Styela clava: one gene and its partners. The protein of the gene in region 1 binds, or shares a complex with, the protein of each later gene. Links are inferred from orthologs where the notes say so. Each region holds a gene or a part of one and is shown in the gene's direction. Other genes may lie near its edges. The genes, in order: transformation/transcription domain-associated protein-like, vacuolar protein sorting-associated protein 72 homolog and mortality factor 4-like protein 1.

The links.
Region 2: transformation/transcription domain-associated protein-like (region 1) and vacuolar protein sorting-associated protein 72 homolog share a complex: the UniProt entries of both Drosophila melanogaster proteins name them as parts of the tip60 chromatin-remodeling complex. The link is inferred for Styela clava from reciprocal best matches to the Drosophila melanogaster genes Nipped-A and YL-1.
Region 3: transformation/transcription domain-associated protein-like (region 1) and mortality factor 4-like protein 1 share a complex: the UniProt entries of both Drosophila melanogaster proteins name them as parts of the tip60 chromatin-remodeling complex. The link is inferred for Styela clava from reciprocal best matches to the Drosophila melanogaster genes Nipped-A and MRG15.

The regions. Positions count from the first base shown.
Region 1 is NC_135262.1:5,122,227-5,129,849, forward strand, and holds the start of transformation/transcription domain-associated protein-like, read left to right. Parts: upstream 1-4,538; 5' UTR 4,539-4,616; coding exon 4,617-4,701; intron 4,702-5,152; coding exon 5,153-5,202; intron 5,203-5,477; coding exon 5,478-5,588; intron 5,589-6,060; coding exon 6,061-6,165; intron 6,166-6,602; coding exon 6,603-6,686; intron 6,687-7,189; coding exon 7,190-7,246; intron 7,247-7,623. Other genes in the region: copine-3-like, read left to right, coding at 574-810, 1,370-1,747. UniProt on the Drosophila melanogaster protein: Part of the Tip60 chromatin-remodeling complex which is involved in DNA repair. Upon induction of DNA double-strand breaks, this complex acetylates phosphorylated H2AV in nucleosomes and exchanges it with unmodified H2AV.
Region 2 is NC_135254.1:7,385,207-7,392,888, forward strand, and holds vacuolar protein sorting-associated protein 72 homolog, read left to right. Parts: upstream 1-5,035; 5' UTR 5,036-5,086; coding exon 5,087-6,034; 3' UTR 6,035-7,131; downstream 7,132-7,682. Other genes in the region: kelch-like protein 12, read left to right, coding at 1,367-1,374, 1,997-3,704; dimethyladenosine transferase 1, mitochondrial-like, read left to right, coding at 7,589-7,682. UniProt on the Drosophila melanogaster protein: Part of the Tip60 chromatin-remodeling complex which is involved in DNA repair. Upon induction of DNA double-strand breaks, this complex acetylates phosphorylated H2AV in nucleosomes and exchanges it with unmodified H2AV.
Region 3 is NC_135257.1:13,338,382-13,345,695, forward strand, and holds the start of mortality factor 4-like protein 1, read left to right. Parts: upstream 1-4,216; 5' UTR 4,217-4,625; coding exon 4,626-4,668; intron 4,669-5,229; coding exon 5,230-5,431; intron 5,432-5,778; coding exon 5,779-5,849; intron 5,850-6,098; coding exon 6,099-6,169; intron 6,170-6,462; coding exon 6,463-6,564; intron 6,565-7,226; coding exon 7,227-7,309; intron 7,310-7,314. UniProt on the Drosophila melanogaster protein: Part of the Tip60 chromatin-remodeling complex which is involved in DNA repair. Upon induction of DNA double-strand breaks, this complex acetylates phosphorylated H2AV in nucleosomes and exchanges it with unmodified H2AV.

The DNA.
Region 1 (7,623 bases):
TAAAGTATAATTTTCTATCGACAATAAATGGGAAATTCATGTTCTGCCACAAAGTTGTTATGAAGATTTACACAAGATATTTTTCAAACAATTGTTCAATTAGATAGGTATTAAGCAGCAACGCAGAACAGTTCGAGAAAAAAGGAATGGGTGGATTAGTATATTTAATGTTTATTTATTGCTTTTGTAAGAGCAGCCGATATATAATATTGTAAAAAATTGACCAGAATACACAAATGCTTGGACTATTCGACTGACTACTGACCGCCAACCAGATTTTAAAACATTCAAATTTCGTATATCACAGAGAGTAAAGCCAATGAATAAACAGTATTGAATTTCTATTAACGCATGCATTTTATGTTTCGCAATTCAGAGCGATTTTCGTGCATTTCGCATTAGATTTCAGTTGGTTTAGTGATTGCAGTACAATAATTACAAGGCTCGTAAAATAATGTAACCAAAGTGAACAAGACTATTTCGTTATATTGACAATTGAAGAGGGGCCGTGGCCCGTGCGTTAATTTTTTGTAAAAAACTATATTTTATTTTCTTCCATTCCAATTTTAACAGGAGTATCAAGTTCTCCTTATCTTGACTGACGGTGTGGTGACAGATATGGATGAAACGAAGAAGGCTCTTGTCCGCGCTTCAAAACTTCCAATTTCAATCGTCATTGTTGGGATTGGAAATGCAGACTTCAGTGATATGGAGTTTATGAGCAAAGGAGCAAAGCATATCAAGACTCAAGAAGGAGAGTGCGCTGCAAGAGATATTACTCAGATTGTCTCATTCCGAAAGTTTAATTTTGTGAGTAGGATTTTCGTCATAAGTATCAAGTAAACTGTATACAAACATTCATCGTGATATTATATATACAAAAACTAGTCACAAACTAACATTTCATTATTGTCCTCATTTTCGCTCTTTTTAAATGCGTTGATAATAAGAAATAAAACATTCCAGTTGGGAATGTATGCATATGTCTTACATTAACTTTGTACTGAAAATGACACATCTTTCATTGTTGTATTTCTGGTGAAAATTCGCAAGTTATAAAAAGACTTTTTATCTGAATTTATCTGATAACAATGTATATAAAATAATTCTACAACTGGCAGGAATATTATTTGCGAGATATTTTTTGAAACATGCTAACTGAACCGCACATGAAAATTTCTCAATTTTTTAAACTCTATGCTGATGTTCGCAGAAATCTAATCTTTCAATTTTAATCTTGAACAGCTTTATCCTCGCTCGTCCGCTCTATAATATTTGTAGAGTTCAAGTAATACAGTATTCTCATCAGAACTTATTTCAAATCATTGGATTATATATATTATTTACGTATTTTACATTTTTGATACAGGAATCGATGGATACACTCGGTCGCAATTTGTTGCAAAAAATCCCATCGCAACTCGCCGAATACTTTGCGTCTAAGAAAATCGATCCAACGTCAGGTCATTCAAGTCCACGACGTGAAAACGGCGAAGTTAAGAAACAACCAGAAATAAACGAAACTCAAACTCCGGTTAAAAAACGACAGGCGCCAAAGGAACCGCCAAAGCAAGAGATTCCAGATCAAGAAACGCCAGAAACCCAAGAAAATCACTTGGAGATTGAAAATGGAAAACCTGAGAGTCCAAAAAGAAGTCCTCGCGTTAGCGAGAGCGATGCGAACCAAGATCAGGTTCAGGAACAAGCCGCGAAAGACAATCCAGATGTGGAAATTTCAGCGTTTTAACTGAAAATAAACGAGATTAAATCAAAATTTGGGGGCAGATGTTTCTAAAATAAACGGTTTGAATAAACGGTGTGACCGAAAATGACGGTTTGACAGTTATTATGGTCGATCATTCAATCCTTCGATTAAAAACCACAAACTCTATTTTACTGTTCCTTCACTTTTCTAAATATATTTTGAACACCCATTTTGTTTCCAACCAAGACGCAAACGAACTTGATCATAGTTTAAGACTATCAGATTCAGATTCAGATATTTTTATCTAGCTTTTTCCAAAAGAAACGGTTTAGAGAAAACGACGGTTTTCAAGCTTTCAATACGATGAATTGAAAAAAATAAATCTTTCTTTTGACCTTTCTTGTAGCCTACTTTTTTAATTATTTCTGGATACTTTTGAAGACCCATTTTGTTTTAACCATAAGGGTATCTTCTAATCGCTTTTGATCATACTATTCTTCGAAGATCTTTGGTCAAATGGATTGGAAGTCTGTAAATCTGGACCTTATGGGTTATCTTATTTACAAATAAGTTTATTACATAAATGAATATAAAACGTTGCTTTTCGTATCTTCAAATGTATAACTAAGCCATTAATTTTTCATTGCTTTTGTATAATATTCCGCTTTCTTCACATATTGTGTATTGCGAAACATAAAATGCATGCGTAAATATAAATTCGATACTGTTCATTCATTGTCGTCTATGATAAACGAATTTTCGAATATTTTGAAATATGGTTGGTGGTCAGCAGTTGTCGACTAGTCGCAAGCATTTTGCATGTTCTGGTCAAATATATATATATTACAATAATATATTTCGGCTGCTCGAACGAGAAAAATACAGAAGGATGCAATACAAATAAAATGCTGTCTAGAATGAGATTGGAACACGCGCAAATGCTCGCCCATCTACAAAAACAAAGCAAGCACATAATAGAATGAATATTATTTGAAATCAATATTGAGAAATATCAAAGCCAAAAACACTGAGTCAAGAAAGAGTTATTAAATTTGTAAATTTTACAGATTAATGTTTGTACCCAAATGCATGCTTTAATGTTAATCACACAGAAAAACATTTTATAATATTTTTACCGCAGCAGTGCAGCCATTTAACTTTCAACCCGATAAATATTACCGGACTTGAAATGGAACTATGGATCGTTCTGCTATTATGATGTTTTTGTTCGAATTTTTCTTCTTTTTACGGTATTTAATCCACCAAGCGTGACGGCTGTTTCCGAGTTGATGCGAAACCCACGCAAAACTCGGAGAATAAATAATACTCGTAACGATTGGAACTTTGTTTTGGATTTTGTGTTCATATATTTGAGCATCGCTTGCTTTCTTGTTCCATCTAGTGCCTACAGCAGGCACATTTACACTTCCAAATGGTCTCTAGGGTCCCCAAAATGATATTATTTTCAACAATGCATCTAAAATGTGTTGGATAATTTTCATGAACTGTTCTGTCATTACTACTTAAGGTGCACAGAAAAATAGCTTAAAATCTTTTAATCAGTGAATAAGTTGATGTTAGTTTCTTTCCTTATTTGTCTCTTCCAGCGATGATAAAGTCGAATGTGTCCATGCTGTATCAGGTTCAACCGTTGAAGTGTATTCACCTCAATGGGTCCAACTTGATAAAATCAGCAGTGTCGTCGTCCGAGTAGATATTTGCAGTTTTAGTTAGGTAATATTCATAAACTCAAGATGAAATCATACTAACAGACTTCAAGCTAATACCTATTTCGATTAATGCAAGGCGAGAACAATGAGGACAATCCTAATCGGATAAAACGACATATTAACACTCTCAACCTACACATAAAAGCCCTCTTGTGGCAAAAGTCGTGAATAAAACTTAGTACGATACTAAATATTGTGCAGACAGGCAAAAAACGGCGAGGTTGCTTCAATTCAGAACCCTAGCAAATCAGTTTCAGATTTTTTACGCACGTCTTCAAGTTTTTTGTCATATTTGCGCAAATAGATGTGGTAGTATATGCACAGTATTATATTGTTTCTCGATTTTTTGAATAAATAGACGAGAAGGCGCCTGGTGCCGGTAAGTATAAACCGGAATAAGACACGTAGTATAGAATTGTTGGTGTGTCTGAGTTGTGCAGATTTTTTTTCAAGTTTGCGCTAACGTAGTAAAGGCTCGTGAATACATAGATGGGTTACTTTAATTCAGTGCACACATGAAAGTAAGATGTAAAAGCCTAAAATGAGGAATATCTGACAAATGAGGAAAAACTGACTAATCCGCGCGGCGGTGTGGCTCAACGGGCTAAGCAGTAGAAATACGCTCGCCACCGCACCTCTAACTACTCTGCGTGGGTTCGCAGGTTCAAATCCCATGCAGGGATGGTTATGTGCGAGAGGATTGCTGGACTCCTCGCCGTCGTTGGGTGGTTCACGTAACCGCTGGTCAGTTACGGCTTCCTCCACCACCAAGTCCATGCTTCCGAAAACAAACAATACAGTAAAACTAATCCCATACCCGACTTGGAATGGTAACCGGACGAGAGGCCGTGGTTCGCCATATGGATAAGCCATCTTATCGGCTTTCTACTCCCCCGGGATAAATATGTAAATCCTATCCTATCCTATATTCTACTAAGACAGTAAGAGTTTTATTAAGTCTGTAAGTAGAGACAGCTGAGAAAAGCTATTTTCGATTTTCCCAGCTCCTTAAGTTACTCCCTATACCTACCTACATATTGGTTTTATAAGGTAGTGTTTTTTTCCGATTTACCAAATCACTGATTTTCACTTAATACAGATATTGACTAAATATACAATTACGGCATAAGACAGTGGGTCTGTCACTGTTGTATCATTGTATGTATATGGTTGCATGAACCATGCTTCACTCAGTGTCATCTGACATCAACCAAGAAATAAACAAATACAAGGAATATGTGTCTCTGCTCAATGATCCACTGGCTCGTAAGTAAAATTTTGATTTTTATCAGCGCATTTTCTGCTACAAGAATGTTTCTACTTCAGACTGTAATTCAAGAATTCGGCGGTGTTGCGCATCATGCTAAGACCCTCCATCTGTCCGTGAGTTTGCAGGTCGTATCCAGTGGGGGTTAATTATATTCGAGAAGATTTCTGGACACCTCGCTGCCGTAAAGTAGTTTTAATAATCGCTGGGCGGTGAGGGGTCCTCTGCCGTCAAGTCTATCCACTGGCTATCTAATCCCATACCCAACGTGGACTGGCAGCAGGATGAGATTCCGTGGTTTGCCATGTGATTAAGCCGTCTTATATGTAAATCTTAATCCCATAAGAATTGGAGATGGTCCTATTACTGTTTTTATGAATATTGTTTTGAATTTTTAGTTTTCTGTATTTTTATATTTTGTGTTTTATATGCTGTTTTCATTTCTAACAGAGGATGAAAATAAGTTGAAAGTTGCTCAAGAAGTGAGCGAACATTTCGAGGTTTGTACAATTTTTTATTGCTATGCAGTTATTTGATCGAAGTTTGGATGTTTTTTTACTCTGCTCTTATACTTACTTAAATGATATTAATATGAAATTCAGATTTTTGTTCATTCCTTTTTGAACTTTTTAAATATAAATGAAATCAGATAAATGCTTTCTGTTTTACTGTAATTGCTGAAATAATCCACTTAAATTACCACCATATTTATGCTTTTTCATTATTCATTCGGTATTCATTATTTATTATTAATTATCAATAATTAATTCTTCAGGACATTGCACATTCTCCTCAGTATCAAGTGTTTCTAAATCATTGTGTTCCAAGATTTGTCAAATTATTGCAAGATGGAGAACCAAGCTTTGTACTGGAAAATCATGGCCAGGTTAGAAAACTATAATGGTGAATTATTCATTTGGAAATAGAAATTGACCTTGTATTTATATGAGGTCAAAGGTTAGATTTTCACACTTATTACAGTTCTGAACAACAGTCTTTAATATCTCTTTTATTTCTACAATAACCTGAAAATCTTTACTGTTTTACGTTGCCTCCAATTTAACACAGGTGGAGCTGGGAGCTGTAATTAACTATTTTTTTAATTTCCGATGCCAACAAAGTTGAGTTTTGGATCTAATTAGTTAAAAATGTGACACCTAGTATACATATAACAGCACCAAAATATTTCTAAGAGATTATCGAAATATTTTACTTAAAACAACTTGCTTTTCAAATCTATCTCTGAGATTTCAATCTTGCCCACTTCTACATTTAATAATTATCAAAATTGCGAACCTATTTTATATCGGGCTATCATTATTACAATGGATATTTTATTTAACGTTCTTTTTTTACAGCAACTTCGCAAACTTGTTCTTGACATTCTACATCGGATTCCAACAAATGATTATTTGAAACCTCATGTTAAAATGATTCTCAATTTATGCTTCCAACTACTTGAGGTAATGTACAAGTAATTCATACTTAACTCAAGTAAATTGACTTAACTTGCCTAAAAATCAAAAATTATATTTGAAGTGTTATGTACCAATATGGACGGTACGGTAACGTAAAGGGACTGAACATATTGGCAGGGAAAGACTCACTTGGCTAACACAGACAGGTCCTGAACTCGTACTAAAACTAAAATAAGGAAAATCGGAAAAAAATTATGGCCTAACCCTAACCTGATACACACACTACGAAGTAACCATTGTAATGCTTTGTGTGTTTGCTTAAAAAAAGATGGAAAAGATGTCGTACATTAAAATAATTGTTTTTTATACGATACTTATTCACATATTTTGCTTGGAACAAGGTCATGTATAATCAGCCACTGATATTCAATTTTCAGCCATATTGAGAATTTAAATATTAAAAATTGTCTTTTGCAATCCAGGTTGACAATGAAGAAAATGTTCAAGTTTGTTTAAAAATATTGATTGAGCTCCATAAACAATTCAGACCACAAATGGCACCAGAGGTAAAAGTTTTAGCTGTATTTTGATATTTCGCTAATTTTCATTTTACTAATCCTAATACTCTTTTGTTAGTCTCGTCCATTTTCAAGATATGTGTGATTTTGGGAATACTGGCCAAAGTTTTTGAGGTTATTTTGTACAAGTTGCATTCAAACACTCAACAAGACTCTACTCAAGTAATCGCTAATGGATGAACTTTGCGAAAGGGGTCTAATTTTTTGTTTCTGCACAACCTACCCAATGTTCTGACAACCCAAGCTGGAATGATAGACATGGAATTTGAACCTGATGTCTCTAATTGCAATAATAACATAATCAAGTGTATTAAATCAACATGCCTGCTATAATATATCCACTTCTAATTCTAAGCTGACTGTGGGATGAAAAGTAGTCTTGACTGTCTTAAGTTTGTGCATTTGTTATATAGATATTGTGTTTGCTTGTTTGGAACTTTGGATTAGGCATGGATATAAATTGTTTGTTAATTTTTATTATATTGTTTCAGATCCAACATTTTCTTGCTCTTGTGAAGAGAATCTATTCAGAACTACCAAGAAATATGGTAAAGTATTGAATATAAAGTTGAGGGATATACATGAAAAGCATTGGCACTTTTAATTGGGCGTAAATATGTGATAGGAATTTCTGTGCCTTCTTTTGAATACATGTTTTTCACCATAAATCTCAGATCCTACAAGAAGATTGCTGAATATCATTTTTTAATACATTGCTTTCATTACACCTTTCACTCTTAAACAAGGCTATGTACTAGAAGCCACTGATATCAATTAATCTGTAAAAAGCTTCCATTTTTGATATGATCAGAATCTTTTCAGCATTGCCCAATTTATTACATCCTGGATGAGGTCGTGTACTTGGGATTTGAATCCGAGTGTGTAACTTGTGATATCGATACAGATAAATCTAACGGCTTTGAAC
Region 2 (7,682 bases), on another chromosome or scaffold:
TCAAGTTGTTCGGCTCTCATGGCTAGAATTCGTTAGGTGCGCACAACCATCTGTAATTGACATTAGATGATGAACTTCCCTTTTTCCTTATGGTATTATGAAATCAAACATTGTTATTAATAAATTCCTACCCAAAATACTGGAAGATCCTTGATGCCATTTTCACAATTCAAATTATTTTTCAATTCAACCTTGAAGATATGCCGCTCATCAGTATTGTAAATCTTCCTGTGCATTGATGAAACCTCCACCATTGGAGACCTGTAATACTGTTTCGAGTTACGAGGTGTCAGAGAGACTGGTCTAGTTTGACGAGTGGCCATTTTCCAATCTGGCAAGAAATACAAATAAAATTCAGGTATAATAAACACATTTCATGTACATACTGTTTTTTTTGGTACTTGGGAATGTGTTATAAATATGTGTTGCACTGAATGAAGTCACCGACTAATGAGTACAGCGGGATGGGTGAGGACAGAAAATGGTCACTGAACAATCATTAATTCATTACAGATGCTCAAATAAATACTAAGATTCTGTAGAAAGTGGTAGGATGGATGCCTATGATTTTATATGTTCCGGTACCGGTATACCCGGTACCTAATAAGAAATGGTGATCCCACTTTGGCCCAAAACCGGTAATTAGGGCCACGAAAGCATATTTTGACGGTGGTTTTGCTTAGGATATACGGTATGCTACCTTCAGTGAATATAGCAAGACTTAGCAACTAGCCTAGATTGAAAGGGTGCCGAATTCGATAAACCATATATTTACGGATAAACCCATTATACTTTTGGTTGGAGGCCAACGACTTTGCTTTGAGCAACCTTGTAAATAAAACTGTAAAATGATACCGTACATCAAGTCTCACTGTTCGCCTGTATAATTGCGAATGTTTACATGTCCCGAGTTATACACTTTCAGAGTATATTTGTTCATCATTTGGGGTTTAATCATCGCTAGTTTAACTCAGGGTGCTCCAAACCCAGGCCCGTTATTACCCAGCTTCATGTGGCCCGCGTCGCATTCGCAGAGTAATCAAAAAATTGCATTTGGGGTTGATGAGTTTAGTGTGTTTTTTGGTGGTTTTTGCATGTTATAGCTTGATAAATGACCAATACTGATGAGTGTCTGTACAATAAAAGGGTTTTGTATTGCCCCGTTTATCTAATCTTGGCACTATTGTGGCCCGCGAACGATGAAAAAATAATTTTATTGTCCCGGAGCCGACAACCTTGGACCACCCTAGTTTAACTTATGGGTGTGACGTGGCATAAAGAATGCGTATATTTTTAAACATAACTTGACGAGTCCGGCAAAGTGAGCCCCTTGAAAACCAATGAAAAGTGCTCGGTCAGGTCATGGATGAGCAGGTAAGCAACGTGTTTCTGTGATTCGCATTTATAAAATTCGAAATGTAATTGCACATGGGTTTAAGTTATTACTGATGAATATCATAATTATTTATTTGTTTTATTTAATATTTGAATGTTGTTATGAAAACGATTAACGGCGCGGAATTTCCTTAGTTGTAAGTGGCGCATTCATCTGATTTGGGAAATTGAAGGACGCGTCTTTACTTTTTACCTTGTGTACACGAATCCCGCGTTCGTTGATAGTGACTCGCTAAAAGTTTTACAACAGAAAGCGAAGGTACCGGTACCGCATTTGTTGAATTGAGATTAATTCTATAATAGCGATTTGAATATATTATATTGAGAAACCGTGACATATCGTCTCCTTACTTTACTGTCTAAATAGACTACAACTAGCATTGTTGAATTGAGCTACCGTACCGTACATTTTATATTTATGTAATATTCGAAAACTGTGGCATACAGGCATACGGTACCGACACCCTACTATTGCTTTTTTATCGGCATATAGTACCTGTAACATTGTATCAGTGGGTAGCCGAACTTCAGCGCTGTTCTGTAATTAACCTTCTGTATGACCATCTTAGTAGGCTATTTTATGCTTGTTTTACTGTTTTAGAAGAGTGGCCATAACTGTCAAAGTCTTGTTGGGTTCTGGTTTAGTTTTCACAATCACAAAAATGGAACTAACTGCTGACGGATATGATAAAGATCATTGTGCAGAAATAATGAAGAAGCTTAACGAAATGAGAAAAAATAAAGAATATTGTGACATTGCAATAAAGGTTGGTAATGAAGAAATCTTAGCACACAGAAATATTTTGTCCACAGGGTCAGACTATTTCAGAGCAATGCTGTTTCATGAAAATGTTGAAAGTCGATCTGGCGTCATTCAAATGAAACAAACTGAATTTTCAAGCGTTAGGATTTGCATTGATTTCATTTACACTGGACATGTTAGCATTCCTGACTCTAAAAATTGCAAACAACTAATGCATACTGCTCATATTATGCAGCTACAAAAAGTTTGCGAGAATGTTGCGACATATCTTCGAAAGAAAATAAATATAGAGTCGTTTTATTCAGCAAAGATAATTGCAGATATGTTCAATTGTACAAAATTACTTGAATGTTGTGAAAAGTTTGCTTTAAAAAATTTTCAACATTTAGCTATGAAGGATGATTTTAAACATTTAGAGAAGGAATTTGTTTCTTTGTTGATTGGATCACGGAATACAAAAGCTTCCGAAGACATAAAATGCAAGGCTCTGATTATTTGGACAAATTTTGAGAGAGGAACTCGAACTTCTACTTTTGAAGCACTTTTTGAAAAATTGAATTTGACTAAAATTGCTTCGAAATATCGGTCATATCTTATTCAAAAAGAGCCTTCAGTTTTCAACTCAGATTTATGTACGAGTGCTCTAACTCAAGCCAATGATTTAACAAATGTAGAGCCAGAGGATGTTGACATAGCCACCTCAAAATTTGTGACTAATGAAAATGTAATTGCAGTGTTTAGTAAAACAACATGTTCCATCCATGTTTTCAATCCATTTCTGAAAACCTGGACAGAAATGCAGAAGATCGATAAGGAATTTGTTGCTAAATACTTCACTGCAGCAGTGCTTAATGACATTATATATGTTTTTGGAAATTACGGGAACAATTATAAGTTGGATTACATCGACATCAATGCTACATGGGTTCGACTGGACGATCGAAAATCAGCTAAGAAACGTGCGATCGGTGTTGCCTTTGGCAACTATATTTACGCATTTGCTGATCATGGTTGGTATAGTAATGCTGTTGAGAAATATGACCCATATGATGGAACTTGGTCTGATGTCACGCATAAGCCAGTGGAAGGATTTGGATCATCTATTGTTTCTCTTGAAAGTTTCATCTACTGCATAGGAGGGGTGAACAATACTGGACATATGTCGAATAACTTGAGATTTAATCCATTAGATTTAACATGGAGAGAACTTCCGTCAATGCCAACTGCACGAAAATTTTCTTCTGCAGCCGGACTCGAGGAAAAAATTTATGTAATGGGTGGGACTCAAAGCTTCCATTTGAATATTGTAGAGTGTTTCGATATAGTTGCAGAAACGTGGACCACTGTTGCTAGTTTAAACAATGCAAGGGCAAAGTTTACTTCATGTGTTGTGGGAGATAAGCTATTTGTTGTTGGAGGGGAGCTTTCTAACAATACAATTGAAGAACTGGATCCTGAGAGTAATAACTGGAATGTTGTAGATAAAATGAGTGGAAAATTCATTCAAGCCAATGCTTCCGTTCCACTGTATATTCTTCTCCCTTAGCAAAGGTTGAATTTGTTGATCTACTTCCCTACCTAGAAAAGTTTTCTGTCAACACACAACTGTTGTCTTTTAGATCTCATTTATTTGCTATCAGGTCGCCTTCCAGCTGGAAGACAAAAAACTGTGCTCGCAGTCTCACAAATCAGTTTTAGCTTCTGAACTCGGTTTGATTGCATTGTTTCAATTGTATTGACACACAAGTTCAGCAATTTTATGCGATTATTGTATTACTTATAAGTGTATAAAATTTGTATTGGGAATTAATATTCATCGATATTGATGTAATGGATCATTTGAAACCAGCACTGTGAAGTAGAAGCTTGTTATGTTTGTACTGGTATTGTAGGGAATTAAGAGAGACACCTTTTTAACGCAAAATGAAAGCGATAGAAATATTGGGAAACCGGCAGTTATGCAGAGGCGAGAGCCGTTGAAGCACGCACCCCGGCGCTTACTGACTTTGGCCGATATATATCGTTGGTTTACTGCCGATCGGAATTAATTTATATAATTTATATCGGCCCGATATATCAGTAGACCGATATATTGGTCGAGCTCTCATTATTAACATGAAAATATAATTTATATCATTATTATTTTATAACATATTATTATGAACACTGTATTCTTAGACTTGTGAATAATAGAATTTAAATTTTGTCTAAACCAAAATTACCATCAATGGCATTAGTTCATTTCCCACTGTGTATATCATTTCCACCAACTGCTTAATTCTATTTTTGTAAAATTTTTATTTCTACCATCTTAAATCCCTCATTTTATTCGCTGGTATATTCTTTCCTGAGCTGAATGACCATAATAACATGATTTGCGTTTTGAAAGCTGTTACTTTATTCCTTTTTGACAGTGTGCTTTTCTGAAAAATATTGTTGATGATGTGTATGTGGCTACTTTTTCTTTATATTGGCGTATTATACTTTTGAATGTTCAATTCAATTTTTTATTTATGTTAAAATCTTATTTGTAGGTATTTTATAAATACCGTTTTTGCCCCTTACACAGGGGAGGCCAGGATTATAGCGAATGTACCACTGATAATTCAAATAAAAGTACAAAAAAACAAAAAATTTGGGCAAAAATCTTACCGCCCAGAATTACTTCCTCATGTTATTAATCTTGGGTAACATTACTGCTCATTTGGTGCAAACTGTAACATATCGTATGTATGCTAACCACTGAGATATTGTGTTCTACAATTACATTACCACTGTTCCATGAGTTGGCATCTTTTTCATAGAGAAATAAAACACTTTCATATTATTTCCACTGTAGATATAACATATATTCCTGCATTTTTTTGTATTTTCAGACTCAAAATCGAATTTATAAATTTAGTGAAATTTTTTCTGCTATAAATCATCATGGCTGCTGCAAGAGAGCCACGTTGTACTGCAGGAAATCGGATGTCAAAGGTCATGGAAGAGGAACTAGACGAGGATGACTTTTATAAGACTACGTACGGAGGTTTTGAAGAGGAAAAAGAAGATAATGATTTTGAGTCGGACCAAGAAGATTCCGCAGACGAAGTCGACTCAGATTTCGATATCTCGGAAAACGATGAAATTGTCAGCGATCAAGATGAAGAAACTATAAAACAATCTGAGAAAAAACGAAAAAGAGGAGCGAACACAAAAGCTTATAAAGATCCCTCAATTAAAAAAGCAAAAAAAGATGAAAAAGAAATTAGTAAAAGTGATGATAACAAGGAAGAAAAAGTTCCGAAAGAGGCGAAAAAAACTGAACCAACTGCCGTAAACAATGACGGGCCAAGTCGTAAATCATCTCGTCGCGCCACGGCAGCAAATTCCTATTTAATAAGCATGAAAGTAAAAGAACGTAAAATCGCAGACCAAAAGAAAAAAGAAACTGTGAAAAAACCAATGGCTGGAGTGAGACGTTTGACCCAGGAAGAATTAATGCAAGAGGCGGAAAGAACGGAACGTAAAAACTTGAAATCGCTGCACAACTATCAACGTCTCGAAGCAAATCGAAAAAAATCTAGCACAAAAAAGCGAACATTTGCAGAACCAACAATCAAATACTTATCGACAACAATGCCATCAGTGGACCCGGATGAGCCATCAAAAATTTCGAGAGATTTTATAATTTTCTCTGAACCTGAAGTTTTTAAAAATGAATTCCACTGGAAAAAACAGCCTCGAATCAATAAACCTATATGTCCAGTTACAAATAAGCCTGCCAGATATATAGACCCACTTACTAATATTCCTTATTATGACATGGATGCTTTTAAACTTATTCGTGAAGCACATACTTTATCACTGGCAAAACGTGATAAGGTAAAATGATTCTATAAATTTCTGGTTACACCTGATGGTTACATCTGGCAGCCTCATTATCTGTGGCCCGTGTCACATTTGCTGGAGATTATTAATCAAAAATCGCATTTGTCTAGTCATAAAAATAACCAGAAAAATCTTTCGACATATTGTTGCATCACTAATGTCACTGAATTGACTAAGAGTTATGACGATTTGCACATTTTAGAAAGTTTTTTGATGGTCTTTGCATGTTTTAGCTTGATAAATGACAAATAATGATCGATGTGTTTGCACAATAAAAGTGTTTGTTTTTTATTGCACTGTTTGCATATTCTTGGCACTATTGTGGCCCCTGAACAATGCAAAATTAATATTGTTGTTCCCAAAGCGGACAACTTTGGACCACCCTGGCTTAGACTGATAGCTTCCTGATGCATAAGCCAACTTTTCCGATTCAAAAAGCATTTCCAGGAACATTCTTCTGTGGCAAGGTTACTAATTTACCGTAGTAAAATGCTCAGATGTTATGACCTTGCTGCCCATCAAAAAATAATTAACACTGTATAATGGTTTGGATTATTCACATTAAAAGCAACATGCGACTTAATCATGTAAATTTTTTTGATGAGTCATTTTAAAATCTATACGCTGTCATGTTCACCTGAAGTTGAACTCTTTCAAATTTTGTAAAATTGAGTATACACTGCCTTAATTTTTATTCTACATTTTTCCAAGCCTAAGCTATAGTGCAGTTCTGTTTATTTGTGAAAAAATTTCCAATCGCCTGAGATCTTGATTATCTTTATGTTTGTACCCTGGTCTGTTTTGTCATTTAGGGTACGGTAGGATTTACATATTTATCCCAAGGGAGAGGAAAGCTGCTAAGACGACTTAATCACATAAACCACAGTTTGTCGTCCGGTTACATATCCATGTCGGGTATGGGATTAATTAACCAGTTATTTGTTTCAGATGCATGGACTTGATGCTGAAGGAAGCCTTAACCGACTAGCAGTTATGTGAACCAGCCTATGGCGGCGAGGAGTCTACCAATCCTCTCACACATAATTATCTCCAATGGGATTCGAACCTGCGAACACACAAAAGGTAATCGGAGGTGCAGTGGCGAGCATATTCCTATCGCATAGCACGATGCGCCACACTGCCGAGCCCTCACTTAAATTTTCTAATATGTGACTGTTAAACCTATTAAAATTATTCGGAGTGTATCTCTTTGTTTGTGCTGCAAAATTTTTCCAATTTTTCATGTATAAGATTTTGGTAATGTTTACTAGGGTTCCATTACATTTGAACCCACGGACATTTGAACCCATGACAATTGCACCTGCATACTATTGCACATATGGAAATTTTTTTGTTTTACCGATAATTGAACCCATACTCACCCTAACCCATGGGTTTTAGCAACCGCATATAGATTGAACCCGCGGATATACGCATGGGTTCAAATGTCCGGTCACCGTTTACTAGATATCAGTAATATCTGGTCTGTTACTCTGAAAGAAAAGTTTTTCTTCATTATTTCCATTTATATCAATTATTTTCTTTTCTAGATTGAATATGCCACCAAAGTTAAGGTTACCGCCTCTGCCATCCATTGCAAGCATTCTTAAAATTTATAATGTCCGAGCAAAGAAACAGTTGGCGCAAAATT
Region 3 (7,314 bases), on another chromosome or scaffold:
AAAAAAAATGAGATTCAAATAGAGCAATGTCATGCTATTAATAAACATTCCAATTATAAATCAAAATAAAAAATATATATATACTTTATTTTTTTTTATATGCTAAAATTACGGTAAGTTCACAGCATTGGTTTTGTGAATCAATAAAATACTGTACAAAGCCTAGCTAATCATGTGATTCACATTGTTGCTGCGTTAATGCCAAGTTTGTATTGGCTTTCCAATTTATAAGTTTATATGTCCATATTCTGATATTGCCAATTCGTATTTCCTCATTTATAAAAGGCAAAAACAGGGTTGTAAACATGAGTAGCAGGTAAACTTAAGCAGCTGAATGACTGCAGTACAAACTACTTATCACAGTTTTAGATATCAATCAGTGAAATAGTAAGCTATATCGTATAAATAAACAACAATAGCTAGATCGAAAATGAATACAGCAGACTAATTTGGATTATCGTAATTGGGTAAGAATGTGTATCAGTAACAATACTTTAAACTCATTTCTACCCTAACACCATGACAAATATGTTAATTTAGCACCCTTTTGTTGTGAATACACCAACAAATTTATACGAAAATAGCCTTTATGACAAGACAGCGACGATAAAAACGCGAACGTACCTATCGATCGGCACAGCAGAGCAGAAAGGACCATCCGTGCTGGTGAACTCATAGTTGCCATATTTGACAACGCTGTATGGAAATCCGAGTAAGCAAACTCAAAAAAGTTAATTGTGAATATTTGAGGGAAAAAAGTTTATTACTTTATTTTCCTAATTACAATGATTTTTTTTTAAATTTAGCATTGCATATTGTGTTGAATCGAATACGAACTAGGTAAGCAATAAACCAATAAAGTATCATTACGACAATCAATACAGGTTTCGGCAAATTGAAAAGGCAACACTTTATAGAACAGAACAAATCATATAATTGTATATTTATATATATATATATAATTTGAATCATTTATGCTTTTCTATCGTTTTAATGTCACTGTGATTTTCGAAATTGTCATGATATCTGGTAACTGTAATTAAAATAAACACCTATCACTATCCGCGAGGAGTCAGTAAAGAGTAGTAGAAGTTTCATATGTAGGAGGTGATGAGATGCGATAGCAATTTGAACTTGTGGGCAATGTGTTTTGAAATTATGAAATTGTTTTAATTGGGTGCAAATTATACTAATTCGACAATAAAATTAATATACGAAAATTCCGTTTGGCATTGGAATTTATTTGGCAAAAAAAAAAAAAAAGATAGCAATTTGCAGAGGGACAGATATATGAAAATTCGTTTCCATCAACCGAAAAAACAAAATTAAGGTCTTTTAAATTAAACTGTATTACAAATCTATAGTTCTCAACAATACATTGCATGGTTTTGCATTGCACAAGTATTTGTGAATATTGTAAAGTGTAAACAACATAGATTCTGATATTGAAACTCAACTTCATTATGAGATTCCTAATTTACAATTTGTTAACTTACAGATTTAGGGTCTCATGTAGTTTCGTACCTAACATACTTCTAGTGGGCGTAGCATAACAATTTTTTCACATGTCAATCCTAACCCCCACCTGACTACCGGTACGCCATCCGAAAATTACGTCACAGTGACGTGATAGAGCCCTTCAAACTATACGAACTTCCATCCAAGACGCGCAGATGAGCACCCGAAATCGAAGAGCTATTTTTTTCGTTGCAGAGATCGATGACGTTAGTCAGTTCTTTATTGTCGTCGCCGATGCTATTTCGGGCGATGGTATGTATATTTGGCAAGCTCTATGACATGATTGTGATGTCGTAGTGACGTAATTTTTGGATGGCGTAGTCAGATGGGGGTTAGGATTATTAACATATCAAGAAATTGTTATGCTACGCCCACTCACCACTAGAAGTACGTTAGGTACGAAACTACACGAGCCCCCAGATTTAACTGTAATTTATTGGCTGCCCGGTTTCTTCATATGCCTTTATAGCAGCGTTTCCCAACTCTTTTTTGGTCGCGGCCTATTTTTTTACCGGCGAAAACCTTTGCGGACTTAATGTGCGTTTATTGCAAGCGTACTCTGTGTGAAAAGCAATAAAACCAAACACAACAGAACTTTAACGAATTTCAAAATCGGAAATTCGCCGCAATTACGCGTTCGTTAAAAGAGACGAATTTTTTTAGTGTATAAAATGGCCTTTTCTGTCGCACAATATTCAATCCAATGACGACGACGAGAATTTAAAATGTCCTTTTATTTTAATTTAATTGTGTTCATGGTAACTCGCGGTTGTTTCGATGAAAGCATTACTGCTTTAAAATGGCAAGGCAATCTGGGACTATGATGAGGTGAGAATATATTGCCCGATTATATTTAGTTTGGATTAGAGGTAAGATCGGGCTAAAAAATTCCAGCCCGACCCGACTCCGGCCCGTGGGTATTAAACCCGACAGACCCGAGCCTGACTAATTAACTGGATTTGCAGGCCCGACCTGACCCGGGCCCGTGGGTATTAAAACCCGACCCGAGCCCGACTAATTAACTGGATTTGCAGGCCCGACCCGGGTCCGTGGGTATTAAAACCTGACCCGAGCCCGACAGGCATCCTGAGGAAAAATTCAAAAAATCTTGAGGGAAAATCCAAGGAATTCTGAGGGAAAATGCCCTGGTACGTATACTACCGCAGCACCCGAAATTTTGCGATTCGTAGTGTCTAAAAAAGCATTTTTAATCGCGGACCATCATAAAACAAAACTTAATTAAGGTGTTCTTCGTTTTATTTTTAGTATTTCCGCTTTTCAATTTAAAAAATTTGGGTTGCCACCCTTGACACTTAGCATCAGAAAAAAAATATATTCCTCGTTGTTCGAACTCGCGAAACACCATTTAGGTATCTATCGAATCGCGTGCAGACTCGTGTTTTCGTCGGAAATCTGTAAATGAATTGGGAAATACGATCGTTTGATTAAGCGCGCGCAAGTGACCCGTCGCATCACTTGTTACTAAATTTTCGAATAGTAAATTTATATTCTAATAGTTGAATTTTCGAATATATGAGCAGCCCTACTTAGTAACCAGTAATTAGTGACTCGATTAATGTTATGTGAATAAACTTGCTTATTATGTTTTATGTAAATTCTAACGTAAATCGTAACTTGGCTGATAGTTAGGTTTCGCAAAAAGGTTTGCGACCCGCAGTAAATTTCTGGCTCGTTGCGGACTCATTCAAACGCTCCGCGGACTCATTTGAGACCGCGGACTCGGGTTGGGAAACACTGCTCTATAGAGATACCGAATTCACGATACATGAATCAATTTATGAGTCATAGTTGTGATAATGAAAAATAGGCAGTAGGCCTATTAAAGAATAGAAAATTCTACATGCATAAAAAAAACGAAATTTAATGATCACAATGATATTATGGTTATATAAACCGATAATCGTTGTTTGTGCTTATTTTTTATTTTATATATACTGATATTGGGACAAAATAATAATACAAAAAAGGGAGATGATAAAATATCATTTTTATCCCATATATACCGGTATGCACTAGGGCAGGGGTGGGCAACCACTGGCACGCGAGCCCATTAGAATCCTCGAAAACGAGATCATTTCCTTCAGAAAAAAAGTTTGGAGACTCTGAATTATCTGATGAAACTAGTTGTTAATTTATTCATTATCGTATGTTAACAATTCGTTATTTATTTAAACTTTTTTTTTCTCTTTCATGACATATGGCTACAAAAAATGTATTATGTGTAACAAATGAGTAAGCTCTCGAGAAGAGCCCAGCATTAATTTGGCTGCATTCTTACGTAATATAGTTCGTCTGTGCCACCCTTTTCCTCATTTCCGCTTAATTTATGAAGTTGTACAGCTCATGTTGGTGAGAGTTACCTGTTAACTTACTGTTATAAATTGATCTCAAAAGAAATATAAATGATTAGGGAAGGGAATACAAGAGAGAAGTGCAGAAAACAAACTATTGCGTGATTTGGCCATTCCCAAAATATTTTCGTGTCCTAAAAACTCTGCAACTGCATTACTCTCCATGTTTTTTTTATCTACATATATGCTTGTGAATCTCGGTTCTTAGTTATTATGAACTTTATTGAGTCTCGTAACAGGAGTAGCTTGAAAGATGAAACGAGTAGTTCGTGTATTTCTTTGAATTCAGGTGGGGCTTAGGAAGGACAAGCAAAAATGGTTGTGCCACGCCAACTAGAAGTACTTACGTTGTATTGTGAACATGGCCTATAGCAGGTGCCCAAGTCAGCACTGCAACTGCATGAATCGAATGATAATTGAAAAAACATTATAACAGAAATTCGATATATGCACAAAACCTTATCTGTGACAATTCATGATGACATTGGTTCTTATTAGTTCATCAGTAGTGGGCCACTTGATATTTTGTAATTGTTATATTTGCTTTATTTTATTACATATGCTGTATCCTATATCAACTTTCACCTCACTCGGTGACATGGATATTATTACTGAAACAATAAAATTTTTCATGGAACTGGATAACAATATGGGCAAATATATATTTCAACATAATGGGAACGAAATTTTGTTATATGGACATAAGCAACCAGTGTAATAGGATATTTAGAAGAAATGGCACCAAAATCTGACAGCTCCAAGCTCAAATTCAGTGATGGTAATAAATTATTACTAAATCTTAACATATTTCTTGCGATGAATGATAAATAAATTATGTTAGTTTAACTCAAACTCTAATTTTTGAGTTCTTCTATGCTAATTATTATGCGGTTCGAAAATGGTCATACCCAATGGAATGTTCAAAATTATTTGGAAGTTCACCAAGAGTTTAGAAATTTTGCGGGTCTCTTATGTTAAACTGAACTTGATAGAAATTTGCTTTAAGAGTTGCCTTAGATTCCAATTAACATGATACTTCAATCGGACAGAATTCATTTTTATAAGGAAATATTTGGTCTAGGTCGGAGAAAATTTCATAAACATGAAAAAAAACCTTAGTTATAATTTTCATAAACAAATAGATACATTTGGTATTCTCAATACTGCAGTCTGCAATAGTTAATTTTTACTCTTTCCGCTTTATACAATTCATTGACATGATATATATATATATATATATATCATTGCTTAAAAATTGTCTCACTTTTAAAGGTGAATATGTCCAATAAGCTGATTATTAATAAATAATTTATCTTAGTTTGATGTCATTTTCCAACAGGTGAACGAGTTCTCTGCTTTCATGGGCCACTTCTTTATGAAGCTAAATGTGTAAAAGCTGAAGTGAGAGACCATAAATGTGCTTATCTTATTCACTACAATGGTTGGAACAAATCGTGGGATGAATGGGTACAAGAGAATCGGGTTTTGAAATATAATGACTCTAATTTACAGAAACAAAAGGATCTTCTGAAACAACATGGGTAAGTCTGATGTGTTTATCATTATCACTGTTCATTATCTCTTCCATCCTCAAATTGGATATTACTGGTGTTATTCATTATTTTATCAATAGTAAAATGCCATTCTAGTTGTAGCCAACTAAGCAACCAATCACCCACTTATTCTGCTTCATTAAATGTGGAGTGGAGTCTAAACTGCCTGATTTTTTCTTTTAATATGTGTTAAAACAGGTCGAAAAAAACTCAATATTCATCATATTACATTGTCACCATCCAATATGATTCCCATTGCTATCGTATATTCTATGAATTTATCACCAGTAGCATCCAATCCATTCAAATCCATTTTTTTTTTCATTTGTTTGTAGAAAAGACAAATTGCGAAGAGGCAAGCACCCTAAACCAAAAACAGAAAAGGAAAGTATTGAAAAGAAAAAAGGTAAATTTCACATTTCGTTGAAATAAGCAGTTAGTATTTTTAATTATAGTAATTAATAACTATCAAGCTTGTCCAGGGACCTAAAGTTAAACTGAAAACTTGGAAAATGTGTAAAGATTGCTCTCATGAACATTTCTCAATGGACTATTCTTTGGGTCACATCTCACATGAATCAAAATGTATGATTCTCAATTGTAATATTCGTAGATTATGTAATTGGGCCATAACAATAAAATTTTATTTCTACAGTTACTACAGAGCCAAATACTTCAGCTGAACCTAAAAAGAAGAAAAACAAAGTCGATCCCACTGTTGAAACGGTGGGTTTTCAACTTGAATGTTTAAAGATACTAGGATTAGACAATGGGGGAAGATGTGGAATTTGCTCGTTAATTGCTATAGATACCTTTAATAACAAGTTGAAAAAGAAATTACACTAATGGTATATCTGATGGATATTTCTACTAATTCTGGGTAAAAGTAACTCGAGAAATAATTTTTCTGATTCTTGGCAATTTATATATTATCATGTTACATAAACCCTTATGGCTACATTATTTGACTTTTCTGCTCTGGGTAATTTTGCACAATAATATTTATTCTTACTTAACAGGAGGACTCGTTCTTTGCTAAAGTTGAAGTGAAGATTGAAATGCCTGATGAATTAAAGCCAATGCTTGTGGATGACTGGGATTTGATAACAAGACAAAAGCAGGTAGATCAATCAGAATCTTCAATATTTATTATCAATTTATATCGCAATCAATTATTCAAATTTATTTTATGTCTACTATTTCATATTAGTTAGCTATATATGGAATTAATCATTACATCCTGTGTAAGAACCAATTTTTTGAGGCTCAATCCATTTATTTATATTGTCATCATTCATATATAACCCTGTTTGAGCTATGTTTTATTAACACAGTATATAACTCCTGTTGGCTAATTCGATATCCAATTTGGCAATCCTCATCAAATTATTAATATGGTGTGGCAAAAAAATTCAATCATTATTGGTATTTTTTACTGATTAATTGATTTTATATCTTGCTTTTTTCTCTTCCGATCGTGTCTCAGTGATCGTGTGTGCGTGCGTGCCTTAATTAGTTTTAATTCTTTTGGGTGAGCGAACAAGTATTACTTCTTTAAACCTTTTATCAATACCTTTCCATCTAAAATCTGTACGCTTAAAATTTTACTCGAGTTTTTGTTTTCTCTCACGATTCAATAATCAGTTTTATTTATTTATTATGCAAATTTCATTTTTTTTTCTATTGTAAATCATAATTTAAAAATATCTCGTGTGTTTTTCTATCACCTTTTTACCAGTAAAAGTAATGCTTTATTTGATTATTTTGTTTCGATGTATTTCAGTTGTATCATCTTCCAGCTCGTAAAACTGTTGATGATATATTGAAGGATTATGTAGCATATTTTGAGAATGAAGAATCAAAAAGGTAAT